Arabidopsis thaliana: one gene and its partners. The protein of the gene in region 2 binds, or shares a complex with, the protein of the main gene of each other region. Each region holds a gene or a part of one and is shown on either strand. Other genes may lie near its edges.

Region 1 (4,421 bases), on a different chromosome or scaffold from region 2:
GTAATGTAGCGCATCAATAATAAATTGTGGAGCATAAAAATGATAATAAAATGACTATTGTTTGATCTTGGAGTCCAAACAAACTGGATATCTTCAAACCGATGTCGCCAGGCTTTTGCTTCCCGAATCCAAAATTAAGACTCTTCCCGTTGACCAACTGAATGACTTGTTTAAAATCACCTTCAAAGATAGCTTTGGATCCATTTTTGTTAAAAATTAGAAAACAAGGTTGCATTGTAATACCGAAAGCAGATAACGTTAATAGATTAAGCTTACTACTGTTTTTTTCTAACATCCAGAGAATGACATATCATACATGATCAAGGCAGGTGATGATTACTGAGCTTACTTACTTTTAACATGCAAAGACAAAAACAAACAAAGGTAAATACATTATAAAAAAACAAAGAGGTTCGTCTCCTCCTAATTCTCCATCTCCCTCCTAATTCTCCATCTCCATCCTCTTTCTCCTGTCCATATCCATCTTAATCTTCATCTCCATCCTCTTGTGAAGAGAAATAGAGTGAGTAAGAGGAGAGTCCATAAGGAGAAGAAGATTACTTTGATGGCGGATTCGTCCATGCTGATGATAAATTGACAAGACCGACTGCTAGGGTTCCAAAGATATTTGACAGGATTTAGCTTTGAACAAGGTTAATTTTTTTTTGTTCAACTATTTTTTGTTGATTCCCTTATAAAGCTGTTGTTGTTGTTCAGATACTTACGTGTAGTTACGAACAAACTGTCGGGTCTTCAATTTAGTTTAGCCCTGCGTTAAGCCCATATTGGTCTAATCTTCTTATGAATCCGTTATGGTTATAATAGTTCCCGTTAAGCCGAAATTGTAATAATAAATGTTGAACCGCACTAACCGGCGGAACTAAATGCCGGTTCACGGGTAACATTGAATAAAGATGATATAGGCTTTACTTGTTGAATCATGAGATTGCACACGTCTGTCTCTCTCTCTCACACACACAGGATCAATTAAAAAAAGTTTCGAGGGCATAGGTTATTAGCGCTAATTTACACAAAATGGGATTAACAAAAAGTATACTTTATTGACCATCTAAAGTGACGAAAGCATCCTTAAGAAGTCCTTGTGCTTCTTCTCTCCTCCTGCACACAACCAAAACATCAAACGGACCCATAAGAACAACCAACAAAGCTTCTGAAGAATCTTTAAACAGATGATAGATTGATATTAAATTATTAACACACCATAAAGACAGAAAACTTAAGTAGCATATACAAACCTCTTAATGTCTTCCACAGCTTGTTTCCTCTGTTGAATTTGAAGTTCCATAATGTGAATAAGCGTTGCTCTCGCCTATACAACAAGAGAAAGATCAAAACGATGAAAAAACAAAAAGTGTTGAAACCATGTTGTAATTAATCGAAAGATGAGAGCTTCTTTACTTGGTGAGGCCTCAAGGAATTGAGAAGGTGATGCAAGTTCTTGAAGATTGAAGAAATTTCACCAATTCTCTTCGCATATTGAGAAGGTCTGTCAACAAGAACATCAGCAAGCTCCAATATATGTAACTGTAGTTCTCTATTCAGTGACCTGAGTTCCTTCTTGTAATCTACACACAAAGATATTTGAACTCAAAGAGGTACTTTCAAAGAACATAACTTGCAAATGAACTCATGTAATAAGTTTGATTCCAATGAAGGGAAGAACCAAAAACCATACTCTAGACAGCCAATAGCAATTGCATTTTGAGTTTGATTTCACAGAGTTAGGAGAATGACATACCAAGATTAGAATCTTTTGGATAAAGTTGAGGCACTCCTTGTTCTTCTAAGCTTGGAAGAACATCTTCAGTCTACTAACCAAAAAAATTGAAAATTGCTAAAAACACATAAAGATGAAGATTTTAAAGAGGGGGAAATGTGGAGGAGACTCACAGTATAGTTGCCTCCAAAACAGACGTAGGTGCCTTCAATCGGAGGAGGAGGTTCAGGAGCAGAATCAGTGTTTTCTGAGAAATCCTTGTAGAGTCTGTAATATGGAGGAGGAGGTGGATATGTAGCTGTAGCCATTATTCTCTACATATCCAAATCAAAAACTAAGCAAAATCAGTAACAGATTCCTAAAATTAGGGTTTCTAATCAAAAACAAATCCGTCTACCGCCATAAAACAATCTGTTCTCATTAGAATACAACTATGTCATCACTACCAAATAACTCTGCGACCACTAGAAACTAATCTGTCATCACTAGAAACTAATCTGTCATCGTCACGTTGAAGTAGCCGCCACCACCACAACCGTGTTATTCCTAAATCACCACCAATTTGTCCAAAATCGTCAAATGCTTAACAGTAGATTTCAATTGATTCATGAGGAAAAAAGAAAGGTCAATACAAAAAATCCAGTGGCCACAAATGGGTAGGGAGACGAATGAGTTGGTGGCGACAAGGAGAATCTGAGGGAGAGAAATAAAAAAATCCCTTTCACGGGAAGCATAAAAGACAGAGTGAAAATAATAGAACTCACTGGAGATTCGCCAGAGAGATGGCTCGGCGGAGAATTCACGCAGCCGGAGAAGACGATCGGAAGAAGACACGCTCACCAGAGAAAGCAAATCGAGATTTGTTTCCTCTCTTTTAGTTGGGCCTTTAATTTAGTTCAGGCCTGCTTTAAGCCCATATATTCCTAATCTTCTTATTCCTCGTGAAGCTTAAAACGTATTTCTAGAGCCGTTGAGGGATTTGCTATATGGGGGAAGACTCTGTTCCACCCACCTATATCAGAATTCAGAACCATTTTATATGCTTCAAATGACAAAAGAAAAATGTTTTTAAAATATTGGAATTCAATTGTGCAAGTTTCGGTATAATTTGTTTAGGTGATCCTTGCAAGTTGCAACAACTACTTAACGGTTTTTGAGAAGCCTTGTAAAAAAGGTTTTGTTAGGATGGTGATGATGAATGTATGATGGGTGACGACTAATTATGTTTATGATTTTATTTATTTATTTATAAAGTATATGCTTTGCTTAGGTTGAGTAGTGAAGCTAGCTAGTTGGCAAGTAATGGCTTCTTTTGGCGGCCAAGCAATTCTCTATCTCTCTTTCACACACACAATCCTCGACGCCAAGACTTAAATCAATTCCTCCTGATTTATTCATTTTAAAATTGTGATGATACTAGCTTCACAATACACTCAAAAATATTCTTCTTAATGATCTATTGTATGTATAGTAACACGTTAGCAAAAGATAATCATTGAGAGCCAAAGACAACTAATGTGTATAGAGTTGAATGAGTAAAAGTTGGATATCAATCCAGCTCTAAGAAACTCATTATGTAGAATGAATATTAAAAAAACATGTGTTTCTTGAATTTTATAAATTGCTGTCACCGAGTTTATTAGTATACTATACTACAAAGACCTAGACTACAGTTACAAACTACGATAAGGGAGGTTACTTCATCGAATACATATTATTAGCTAATCACAAGATTAATAATGGTTTGATCAAATAATTGGATAACCAAAATAAAAATCAAAGTTTCTTAGAAAGAGGCGCAAACATAGGGAGTGATATTATATATTTAATTCGTTTTAGCTAATATCATTATAACTAAATATTGTATACATAACTAGAATCATGATTCATAATTGTGTGTTGTGTAATTGTGGGTTGGCTCAACTGCACATGAACTGCTCGACCCCAAAATTCGATTGCCTTTTACTTTCCAATTAATTAACTTAATTATTTAATCAGCAACTTAAGTGTACATATATCCGCAATGATTAGTAGTATTAAGAAACAAAAACAGAATTCGACGTATTTTCAAGTTAAATTTGTACTTTAGTAGCTTTTATATATAATAGTTGGTTTCAAATCTTTAATGTAATTTGTTACAAAACGTAATAAGTTTGCAGGAATTTATAATATGCTTGAATTGTGTGTGTTGTGGTACTGTGTTTCGTGTTGAAACTACTTGTGGATGACTCAAGCCATCAATATAAAATTATTTATAAAGTTTTAGGATTTTAGTTAGTGATAATGTGAAATCAAAGGAAAAAAAATCAATAAATTGAGTGGCATATTTAGAATACGCAATCCAGTTTGATTCTTCTTAATATAATACATTACATTCCAAGTGTCAAAATTGTAGTTCATTTTATTAATAAGAAAAAATGGTATATGTAGAATGACACCTTCTTGAACAGAAAACACAGATTTAATTTCATTTTCAGAAAGAAAATAAAATAACATCTTCTAAGATTAGTGTTGACATTGAATCCACATTTTTGTTACTTTAGCTATAATGATGTGTGTCTTTTGAAATTATAAGGATGCTTATGAGTATTTAATAAGTAAAATACTAGTATTTTTTTTTATGTGATTCATAAGACAAGCAAAACAAAAGTTAACCAAAAAAAGAGAAAATCATTTAAAAAAA
Region 2 (6,592 bases):
CCTGTAGCTTTAGATGCTTACTTTGAAGCCCCGGAGCGTGTTGCTGCTCTCATTCTCGTCGCTCCAGCTATATTCGCTCCCCGTCCTGTGGCCACAACTGATGCTGGAGAGAACCGTGACAAAGAAGCTCCCACTAGCAACTTTCTAGGGACTCTAGTTGAGTTAACCAAAGGTGTTATAAGAGCAGTATTGAGAGTGGTAACGGGAATGGCGAATATGCTGAGTTCTCTCTACAAGAAAGCTTTAGCAGCTTTCCTCAGATCCTTCCTTGGAGTAATGCTGGTACCGCTTTTTTTTGTCTTGGCTTCATTCACCAGTCATGTCATTTTTTATATGTTGTTAGACCAGAACACTTGATGTGTTTCTAAGGTGGTTGTTTTTTTCACCAGGTGAGGATGGCAATCAATAAATTTGGAGTAACAGCTGTTAGGAACGCGTGGTATGACTCAAAACAAGTGACGGATCATGTCGTGCAGGGTTATACAAAGGTGAGATTTTCGGGTTTTCTCAGGTTTCTTTATTTCTTCTGCATTGTTATGTTAAAAATTTAGGAAATTTGATTGTATTTGTTGCAAAAAAAACAGCCTCTTAAAGCCAAGGGATGGGACAAAGCTCTCGTGGAATTCACGGTGGCTACACTAACAGATAATAATGGCTCAGAGAAAAAACTCCCATTGTCTAAAAGGCTTCAAGAAATCAAATGCCCTGGTAATATCTCTTTCTATAAGATTCTGACAATGAATTAGAAATTGGAACCAAATATTGTGCATTGTATGTCTGAACTCTGAACCAATGACATCATACTATCTTCATGTTTCTAATAGTTCTGATTGTGACGGGAGATACGGACCGTATTGTGCCAGCATGGAACGCAGAGAGGCTGGCACGAGCCATACCGGGATCAGTGTTCGAAGTAATTAAGAAATGTGGTCATCTTCCTCAAGAGGAAAAACCAGATGAATTCATATCTATTGTTGCAAAGTTTCTAGGGAATGCTTTTGGAGGGTCACAACAACAAGACGTGGACTTGAAGTTCCAAGGCATTGTATCATGAAGTATAACTATATATTTTAGCTCAATCAAGACTAAATTTTAGAGAGATTCTTCATGTTATTGGACCTGAAGAAACAAATGTCGACAATATCAAAGACTAGATAGATATAGAATAAAATAACCGAGAGACATTGATTCTTCAACAGATTGATATATAAGCGAGAATAATACACCATGTGGTGCTTCTTGCGAGTGCGGGCAAGTTTTGCAGAGTCCAGTTGATTAGCTTGGAGCTTGAAGCTGGCTTGAAGCTCCAACTCGTCAAGCCAACGCAAAGTTTCTGGAAGAACAAAGTCGGCAACATTTTGAAACTCAAAGCGAGGGGTGCAAAGGACTGTGCAGTCTTCCTCAGCCAAGAGGGCGACATGCTTCTTGTTCGTCAGAGTAGCAGCAGTCTCATCTTCCAGATTCTTCTCATTCGCCTGAGCCATGTACTGCCTGAACTTTTCGAGATAAGCCAAACTAGGGGCGCATCTCATTGCAATAGTAAACATGTAACCAAGAGCATCCACTTTCAGGCGCTTGCACTTGTCCAGTGAATCACAATCTCATGCGGATACTGTGAATCAGTTTCCTTGCATATAGCAACTTGTTGGCGAGCAAGAGACAAGTGAGTAGGATCAAATCGCTGATAGAGGAGGCCACCGGGATGAGTTCGATTGCGGGGAGGAAACTCTCTAGAAACCTTAGAGAGCATATGCATAAAGGTTTTCCCTACGCACCTAACCGTCTCGACGGAAGTCTTATGGATAAGGTCAAACTTAGGGCAAGCCTTGGCCTCGAACCTGACAAAGAGTGATCTCGTAAGGTCCTTGAGAGAAACAGATACGATGGCATCAACAAAATCCTTTTCAGTTAGAAGGACACTCATCTTCTTGAAAATCATCATCTCATCCACCATCTCTGCTTTATCTATCTGCACAAGTACGAGTCCAAAATATACAGGAATATCAATCATCAACTCATCATGTCTACATATGCAGCTAAATTTCAATTCTATGCAATGCAAACAGAGACCATTGTTTTACCAAACCTATGCTCTCACTTATGTTTATCAATAAAGGCCACAAAATTAGGGCTTTTCGATTTCCAATCAAAGACTTTCGGTTGTATCCCCGACGTACAAAATCTAGGCCAGAATTCTTAACAGCTCAACGTTTAACCCATCAGGTTTATCGATAACTAGCACTAGGAAAACAAAATTTACAACAAGGAAAATTGAAGTAGGTACCTTGAGAATTGGGAGGAACTATCACGAGGATTCGCGAGATTGAGGATGAGGGAAGGTAACTCGTAACCCTAGGAATTTATCACTCTGTTATATTTCACCTCATAAGTGATATTAAAAATTACAAAATCTTTGTATAAACAGATTTAAAAAGTTTGCTTGCCTCGCAAGTTAGGTTTAGGGATGGTCAAATACGAGAAGCCCTTTTGTCCTAATAATTTTCTTTTTTATTTTCATAATGAAACATGAAGAAAGTGAAAAAGGGATTTTCCCTTGTCACAATTATGAGGTTCTATTGTCACAAAACCGGACCAAACCGGGAATTCACTGGACCAGAAGTACCAATAAATACTGGGACAAAAGAATAGAGCATCCTAAGAAGTTTATGTTGGATCTGTCAATGCACTTTTGTTGTATATTAACGCCTCTGAATGGTCGTAGTAATTGTATAGATCATCCGAAGGAAAAAATGGACTATCTTCGTGTGGCGGGTCTCTTGAGTTGCGGTTTCTGAACTTTATTTTGCTTTGGGATAGTTTCCAGTACTTGTATCGTCCTCTGTCTCTTAGCTGTTCAAAAACAAATGGGTCATTAAGAATTAGGTGTATTGTAATAGTGGAAATATTGAAATCTCTTAAGACGATTTGACTAACCATTCTCATGTTGGTGGTAGCTCTCTTGGAGTTTCCGCTTTGCAAACTCAAACTTTGAGTCTGGATCCAGAGCTTTGAGTTTCTGAACAAAGACAAGAACACTTGCTATTAGAAACAAAACAGATTAATAATCAAACACCACGGCTTTATTAACTCAAACACTCACATCTTGTTGAGGTCCAGCAAGTTTCCGCTTTTGCTCAGTAACAGCAGTTGGTTTTCGTTGGATTGCGGATACCATTTGTTCTCTACTTTGCTTTGTTTGTCTTTTAGGCTCGACAACATCTGTGGCTGAGTGCTTCATAGGTCTAACATCAGCTTCTTCTCTCCTCGTCTGTTGATCATTGCAGTACCTCCCAACCACATTTGCATCATTTGTTCCCTTGGGTCTCCTCCCCGCACTACTTTGCGATTTTCTTTCATGTTTGGACTCCACACTGTGACGAGGATCTGAAAACAGTGGCCACCATGAGTGTCAAAATATAGGAAAACTTTCAAGTAGAGAACAGAGTACCAAAGAGTATACTAACTCACTTCCATCGCAGTCCAAACAATCTAAGATCTTCAAGTGACCCAAGACATTATGAAACAAGGACGAGGGAGGAAACTTGTCAGGATAACATTTCGTCTATGCCAGAAATAAAATATGATGAGAGGGAAAAATGTTAATAGACCTGAGAAAGTTCAAACCCATTAGGTTCAGGTGCATAGATATCTAAATCATGTGGAGGAGAAGGAAAGGCTTCTTCTTCATCAATTACTGAAAGGTTTAGAGACTCTGGCGTCCCTTCAGTGCCTGCAAGACCCAATTACTATAAATCTAGACCAAAACCTGCTCGCACTGACTACGGAACAGGAGGAGAGAGCTATTTACCAGCCATTTCCTCTGGGGTGTTCATCCACTGGTCCACCAGCCTCTTCCACTCTCTGTGCATCCCATATATAAAAACACAATCTTTATACTCGGGAGCCAGAAAGTAAGGAAGAGTAAAATGTTCTAAGTATTGAGCTAACACAAGAGCAGCTCCCTAATGATCAACCAAGGCTTTTATAATGACATTTTACAATTTGAGACATCCTACAAGGCAACTGGTTTGCATCTAAATCAAACCGTGGAGGTTCAATTTTTTTGGAACATTTTGCCAAAGTTTAATTCACATCACAGATGCGAGAGTATGAGAACAAATGAAACTAAGCACACAATGAGAATGATGAAACTCATACGCGAAAAGAGTCTTTGCAAGTTTGCTAATCTTATCGGAACTATGTCTCCTCAGACCATTAACAGCCTTTCCAATTTCAGTATCCTGCAAGAACGTAAACACTTAAATCACTCCACAGCCTCGAAAAGCTCCATCAGAATAAGCAACTTCCACTACACCAAATCATACAATATCAAAACAACACCAAAAAAACAAACCTTAAGAATGTCCACACTCATAGACATTGACTCAAGCTTTCTCAGAGATTCGAGTAACACAGAATCTTTCTGCAAAAAAGATGACAGAAACCAAAAACTCAACAATCAACACAAAGATTCCAAATTTAACCAATGAATTAGCACAAGTTTTAATGTAATCCAAGCAAAGAGACTAAAAACCTCATCGTCTTTGTTCGACAAGATATCTCTGATCCTCATAACCTCATCAACACTCACAGACGCCTCTTCACCTTCACCCGTCGCAACACCAGAATCACCCCTATCACCGCCGCCGCCAACTCCAACTATCTCCACCGCCGCTTCGTCTCCAGCTATCGAGAGCTCAAGGTGGTCACAACCAATGCAGCGACTCACTTTACAAGAGAAGAGAAGCTCAGCAATTCTATCACTCCTGGATTTAAACTCCTTTGGCCAATCTGCAGCAGCTACCATAATCGCATGATCAATGATACCAAAAATATCAGAATCTCCTCGCCGGAAATACTCTCTCCAAGTATCCAACGAAACAGATGGTCTCATCTTCGCCATCACGAAACGGCGAGGGAAAATCGATTCCGGAATCCGAATTCCTCGATCTGCAAAACCCTAATTAAATTTGAATTTAGGTTTTTGAATACGAATCAATATAGTACTAGTTGTGTAGTTTTTTTTTTTTTTAAGTTTCTCTGCAGGAAATAAAATTCGCCTGAGAATCTGACAAAAGTTTCTGCAGAAAGTCCACAAGAACTTTCCCGAGAAAACTTAAAGAAACAGAGCTTGAGCCAATTAAAAGAGGGCAAGAGAAGAAGACCCTAGAATTTTAAAAAGCCAGAAATTTATGTCGACATTAAAAAACTTAGGTTATAAAAAAAAATGGTAATAGTTTTGATCATTTATCTTGATAACTCATCTGTTTTATTTAAGTAAAATATTGAATTTGTCAATATATATATTAATTCTAAAGATATAGGCTTATGATTAACTGAATGATTATTTAGTTAATAGTAAATTAGTAATAACTAGACTATACATGTGTCGTCCTATATGACATAATGACCCTTGATGAAAAACACGTCACATGGCCTAGCTAGTATAAAGATGGGATATTCGTTTTTTTAAAGTTATGTTATCAACATTACATTCAGAGCATACTGTAATAGTAAATTATTAACACATTACACATGTCCTGATACCAACAATGGGGTACTCATTTTTCAAAGTTATGGATAATTACATTTATCACGTGAATTACTTGAAAGGTAATCTAAATAAACGCGTTTTTGGTGTCGCAATTATGTCGTTTTAAAAAGCATTGTTCATAGTCCCACAGATGTTTAGCACTATTTTTTAATTAGTACTAGTATTAAATTATTATTTTTGTATTTTTTTCATTAAATTTCTCGTTAGTTTCGTGCTTTGACTCTTTTGTTAAGCTTCAGCCACATGTTCCCGTTGTTGAAGCTGTCTTTTGAAGTTTCGTCGTCGATATCATCCTCGACTCTATTTTCAGTTGCGTTAAAGACTTCTCTTCTTCCAAAAGTTTCCTTTTCTTCTATTTTAAATATTCTTTCAGCACTTGGAGATTCACAAGTTTGTCGGATCAATCCATTTTAACTCCGGTAAGCCATACTTGCATGATTCGTTTTGTTTCCACCGATCACATGTTATCGTTTATGCTCCATAGCTTAATCTTTGACTCATTCATGATCTTTTTTTGGTTTAATGTTAAAACCCATGCATGATCTTGTTTCTGCATATTTTTGTTTTGGTTCAGTGTAAAAATTTCTGCATAATTTTGGTTCTACAAAAATAGCTACTATGCAAAAGCAAGATCACGGGGTCAAAGATTAAGCTATGGAGCTTAAACACTACTTGTATTTGACTATTTGTTTCTACGTCATTTGCGTTTGATTTGAATCTAAAGGCCTTTTAATCGATTTCTTGTCATGTGTTTGTAAGGGTTCAGTGTTTTATGTATCTTTCAAATTGTGCTTCTAGTGTATCCATTTTGGATTTGTGAAAGTTGTTTAGGGCTTATATATCTAAAATTGTAAAACCTATTTTAAATTAATATAACAAAACAGTTTCGGACTTTTAACTCATAATATCTCTTCGAATTTAGTTCATTTTCCAACTTTGAAATTCGTTGGCTTGTGATCTTGAAGCCTTGTTCCGTCCGGAATTTATGTTACTTAGTCACCAGTAGAGTTACAAACGATGAGTTATTTTAATCTTTTT
Region 3 (3,691 bases), on a different chromosome or scaffold from region 2:
AAATCCACTGACTCAGATACAAATTTCAGTCTGGAATCGTAATCAAACACATGTTTAAAACCAAAATCCAAAGAAAAATAGCTCTCTGTAGTGATTTTGGTAGTTGATTTTGATCTTATCGCTTGTTCTTTGCGATTCAAGTTTTGAAATCAGTACAAAGAAAGAACACGAGAGAAACAAGCGATTTATGTACAATTTCTCGAAGATCAAACTCGATAATGCTTCACTCTCAAGAGGAATTAACAAAATTTCAGGTTACAGAAGAAGAGATTCAAAGCTACGTACCTACACGAGTCTTCTAGAGGTTGACGAAGAAGACGAAGAAGAAGAAGAATCTAGATCTGTCTCTCTCTCTACTCGATTTCTTCAAACTTGTAGCTCTCACACTTCTTTCTCTCTATATTGTTTGTTACTACCGGTAAGCTCTGTTTGGAAGAAAACATGCAATCGCAACCGCCAAAACTTCTTTGCGTTTTGATTCTGCATTTGGGATTCTTCTCATTTATGGGCCTTAAGCCCAACTCAATGACTGACCCAAATAACTAACACTAAGCCCAATCGTAATCCAACATTTTCGCTTTATTTATGCATTTTATAGACACAAGTGACCAGTAATTGAGTTTAGGGTCAAAAGATTCATAAAGTTTTCACAGTCATAAAACAAACCAAAAAGTTGGTAAGAAACTGAATTCACAATCTGCTCCAATCTCAAGTTTACAAATTGGTCTTCCAACTTTTTAAAACTACCATTTGTTTTTCAATCCTTAATGACTTCTAAAATCAATGATACCACAAAAACTCATAAAAGTCTTTGTTGTATTATCTTTAGCCTCTCCCAGCTTGAATTGCTGCCATCAAATTAGCCATGAAGAAAGCATATCCAACAGCGGTATGTTGCGGAGTGTAGTTGTCTCCAAGTCCAAACTTTTCAAAGTTGAGTTCTTTGTTCACAAACTTACCCGGCAACGACCTTTTCGACATAGCTTCTTGCCATATCTCCAAGAACTCCTCCATCAATTTTTTTGCCATTCCCATTGATGATATAGGAAGATACTCCACCTAAATAGTACACACACATAATTATAGGTTTCAAATGAAAGTAGTGCATAATAGCATAATGGCATAAGTTGATAGCACTAAAAATTCGTATAATGAAAACTTGTTGCATGGAAAACCGTAGATTATGCAAATTTTCTTAATTGACAAATTTTCTGCCTAATCACATTAGAAACCGTCATTATGTGTGTTACCAATCATAGCTAATAACCTTTAGTTACTGAGTTACATTACAAACTCCAAATTATGAATTAACTAGAGTGTTAGATAATCATTAACATTGATTATTAATATATCTCAACGTACTCAAAAGATATAAAATTTGTTACCTCCATGACTACGCCTCTAATGGTCTCAGCATGAGTAGGAACAACTTTACCAACTCTCAAACGAAAATCCCCAAGTTGATACTCAAGCCCTTCAAAGTAAAACGAGAGTTTGCATTTGTAAGACTGAAGGCTCTCCATGATCATTTGAATTGAAGAATCTGCTTCCACGACGATCCTTTGCGACCTGATGACGAAATAGTACTTATCTGGCTCCTCCGGAAGCGAAATTCCTACAAATTCACGCGGGAACTCAGCTTGATTCGCCTGATCTTGCAACATGGGTTTGTAATAGTTGAGAGTGGCTTTCCATGTTCCCTCTTTGACGCCATTGAGACTCTCTATGCTTTGTGTTACTTCGTTTAGGATTTGGCTGCTAAATGTTGATCCCTGATTTGGTTGCCAATGCAAAAGCCTGGAAAAGTATTCCCCCAAAGAAATTTGAAAAAAGGTTAACGTATTATAAAAGAAATTACAATAATGGTTATTTAGTTTATGTAATCATCAAACCTACCATTTGACGGGCATGGCTAATGGAGGTACAACAAATTTCACTTGACAACAAAATTAAAAAAAAATGATCTCTATTAATTTACAATAATACACAAACAATAATATCTTATATAATATAGTTGTATTCAGATATATAATTTACCAAAAAACAAAATGATAAAACTTTACAATAAAGCAAAAAATTATTTAATCAAAAAATACTTTTTGATAGAATTTCAATCAGTGTTCATAAGGAAAATACATTTAAATGCTCAAATGGAGTTCATTTTTTTAATCATTTCTTTCATTTGAAATAGAACGTGGTCTATATGGAAAGGAAAATTTATTTTTAAAAGTAATTTACAGACCAAAAATAATACATATGCATCAACTTTGGAATCATAATACAAATTTCATTTTTTAATAAATAATTATAACATAGAGAATAATTAGATATTTTAGTGCATGTGCACAATTACATAAGTGTACTCACCCTTATCAAGATAAAAGGGAAGAAAATATAAATTCTTATAAGAAAAAAATAAAGTAACTTTTGACTTTAAATAAAAAGGAAACAAATCTAAGAAATTAATGTTATAATTAAATTATTTACCAAAATTAATTGAAAAATAAGAAACATTTTTTTACAAAAACTAAAGAAATTCATTAGATCTGCTATGAGTATCCGTTTGGGATCACACGTTCTGTGATAGTAGTAGATCGACAACAGATTAACTAAACGAATCAAATATGAAATATATCACTTCTTGAATACAATCTAAATATAAAATTCATACATCTCGGATAAACAACTCAATTCTGCTTCTAAGTATATTTAGTTTATAAAACGATGCTTTTTATCTTTATCTTATCTAAATCATTTTAAAAAGATGAGTTGAAGGCATAGTAAAGACTTTTAGGCTTAATAATCATCGAGCCATAAAAACAAAATACAAGATTAGATTGCGAGAAACACTTACCGATGAAAGAGATTTCTGGTGATGATCTTCTTGGGAATACGTAGTATAACGAAAAATTAAGACTCGTACACTGCATTATATAGAGAAAAGCATAGGAGTTTGTTTGTTTTACTAAGATAAAACGACCTCGTTTAAACTACCTCATTTAAAACGACTTCGTGTAAAATTATGTGTTTCTTAAAATGACCTTGTTTTTAAAAAGGTTTTCTTAGGAAATGAGTGGTGAAAACATGAATGAATCTAACCGAACTTATCCAAATTCGAATAATACTAATAGTTTAAAATCTTATAAATAGAATTATTGGAACTGAACCTTAAATCAAATTTAAATTTTATGAAACTGAACAAAATTAACTGAACGAATCAAAATTCCTAATGTATATATCTCATCTAATCATCTAAATAAAAATAAAGGTTTGATTCATGTTTCTTCTCATCTTTCGTTCATTTTTTATGCATAGTCATGAAACATTAAGGTTTCATTCCACCCAATGATATAATTTTTTTTTATCCTAGTACACTCAAAAAATGAAAAATTTATATAGAAATAAATTGGAAATTGATACAATTATATAATTGAATGATACGCTTTTGCTTAATACTAGTCAAGATGAAAAAATAAAAATAAACCAATAAAAAAAATTGAGCTGAAAATAGAGGAAAAATAATTACTTAGTTGATAATTATTTGTTTGATATAATGACATTAAATTGTAATTTTAGGTAATCACTTTTTGTTGATATTTAAAATACGTTTTTAAACAAAAACAAAACCGAAATAAAAAACCAACTCGAACAAAAACCGAATTGTGTCAAACCGAACAGAGAAAAAAAAAAG

Evidence for each region.
Region 1: AT3G10820 (region 2) and AT5G03500 share a complex: the UniProt entries of both Arabidopsis thaliana proteins name them as parts of the mediator complex.
Region 3: AT3G10820 (region 2) and AT4G09070 share a complex: the UniProt entries of both Arabidopsis thaliana proteins name them as parts of the mediator complex.

What each region holds. Positions count from the first base shown.
Region 1 is NC_003076.8:875,615-880,035, forward strand, and holds AT5G03500 (Mediator complex, subunit Med7), read right to left. Parts: upstream 2,762-4,421; 5' UTR 2,160-2,761; coding exon 2,136-2,159; exon of another isoform or gene 2,053-2,135; coding exon 1,912-2,052; intron 1,830-1,911; coding exon 1,760-1,829; intron 1,587-1,759; coding exon 1,420-1,586; intron 1,331-1,419; coding exon 1,257-1,330; intron 1,120-1,256; coding exon 1,059-1,119; 3' UTR 826-1,058; downstream 1-825. UniProt on the Arabidopsis thaliana protein: Component of the Mediator complex, a coactivator involved in the regulated transcription of nearly all RNA polymerase II-dependent genes.
Region 2 is NC_003074.8:3,385,669-3,392,260, reverse strand, and holds AT3G10820 (Transcription elongation factor (TFIIS) family protein), read right to left. Parts: upstream 5,062-6,592; 5' UTR 4,904-5,061; coding exon 4,535-4,903; intron 4,424-4,534; coding exon 4,355-4,423; intron 4,242-4,354; coding exon 4,159-4,241; intron 3,862-4,158; coding exon 3,809-3,861; intron 3,731-3,808; coding exon 3,609-3,730; intron 3,497-3,608; coding exon 3,469-3,496; intron 3,385-3,468; coding exon 3,101-3,384; intron 3,017-3,100; coding exon 2,935-3,016; intron 2,851-2,934; coding exon 2,757-2,850; coding exon of another isoform or gene 2,756-2,756; exon of another isoform or gene 2,633-2,755; coding exon 2,599-2,632; exon of another isoform or gene 2,353-2,598; coding exon 2,285-2,352; intron 2,109-2,284; exon of another isoform or gene 2,025-2,108; coding exon 1,568-2,024; 3' UTR 1,258-1,567; downstream 1-1,257. Other genes in the region: AT3G10840 (alpha/beta-Hydrolases superfamily protein), read left to right, coding at 1-282, 390-488, 585-708, 825-1,054. UniProt on the Arabidopsis thaliana protein: Component of the Mediator complex, a coactivator involved in the regulated transcription of nearly all RNA polymerase II-dependent genes.
Region 3 is NC_003075.7:5,800,527-5,804,217, reverse strand, and holds AT4G09070 (TATA-binding related factor (TRF) of subunit 20 of Mediator complex), read right to left. Parts: upstream 1,911-3,691; coding exon 1,897-1,910; intron 1,798-1,896; coding exon 1,386-1,797; intron 1,060-1,385; coding exon 826-1,059; downstream 1-825. UniProt on the Arabidopsis thaliana protein: Component of the Mediator complex, a coactivator involved in the regulated transcription of nearly all RNA polymerase II-dependent genes.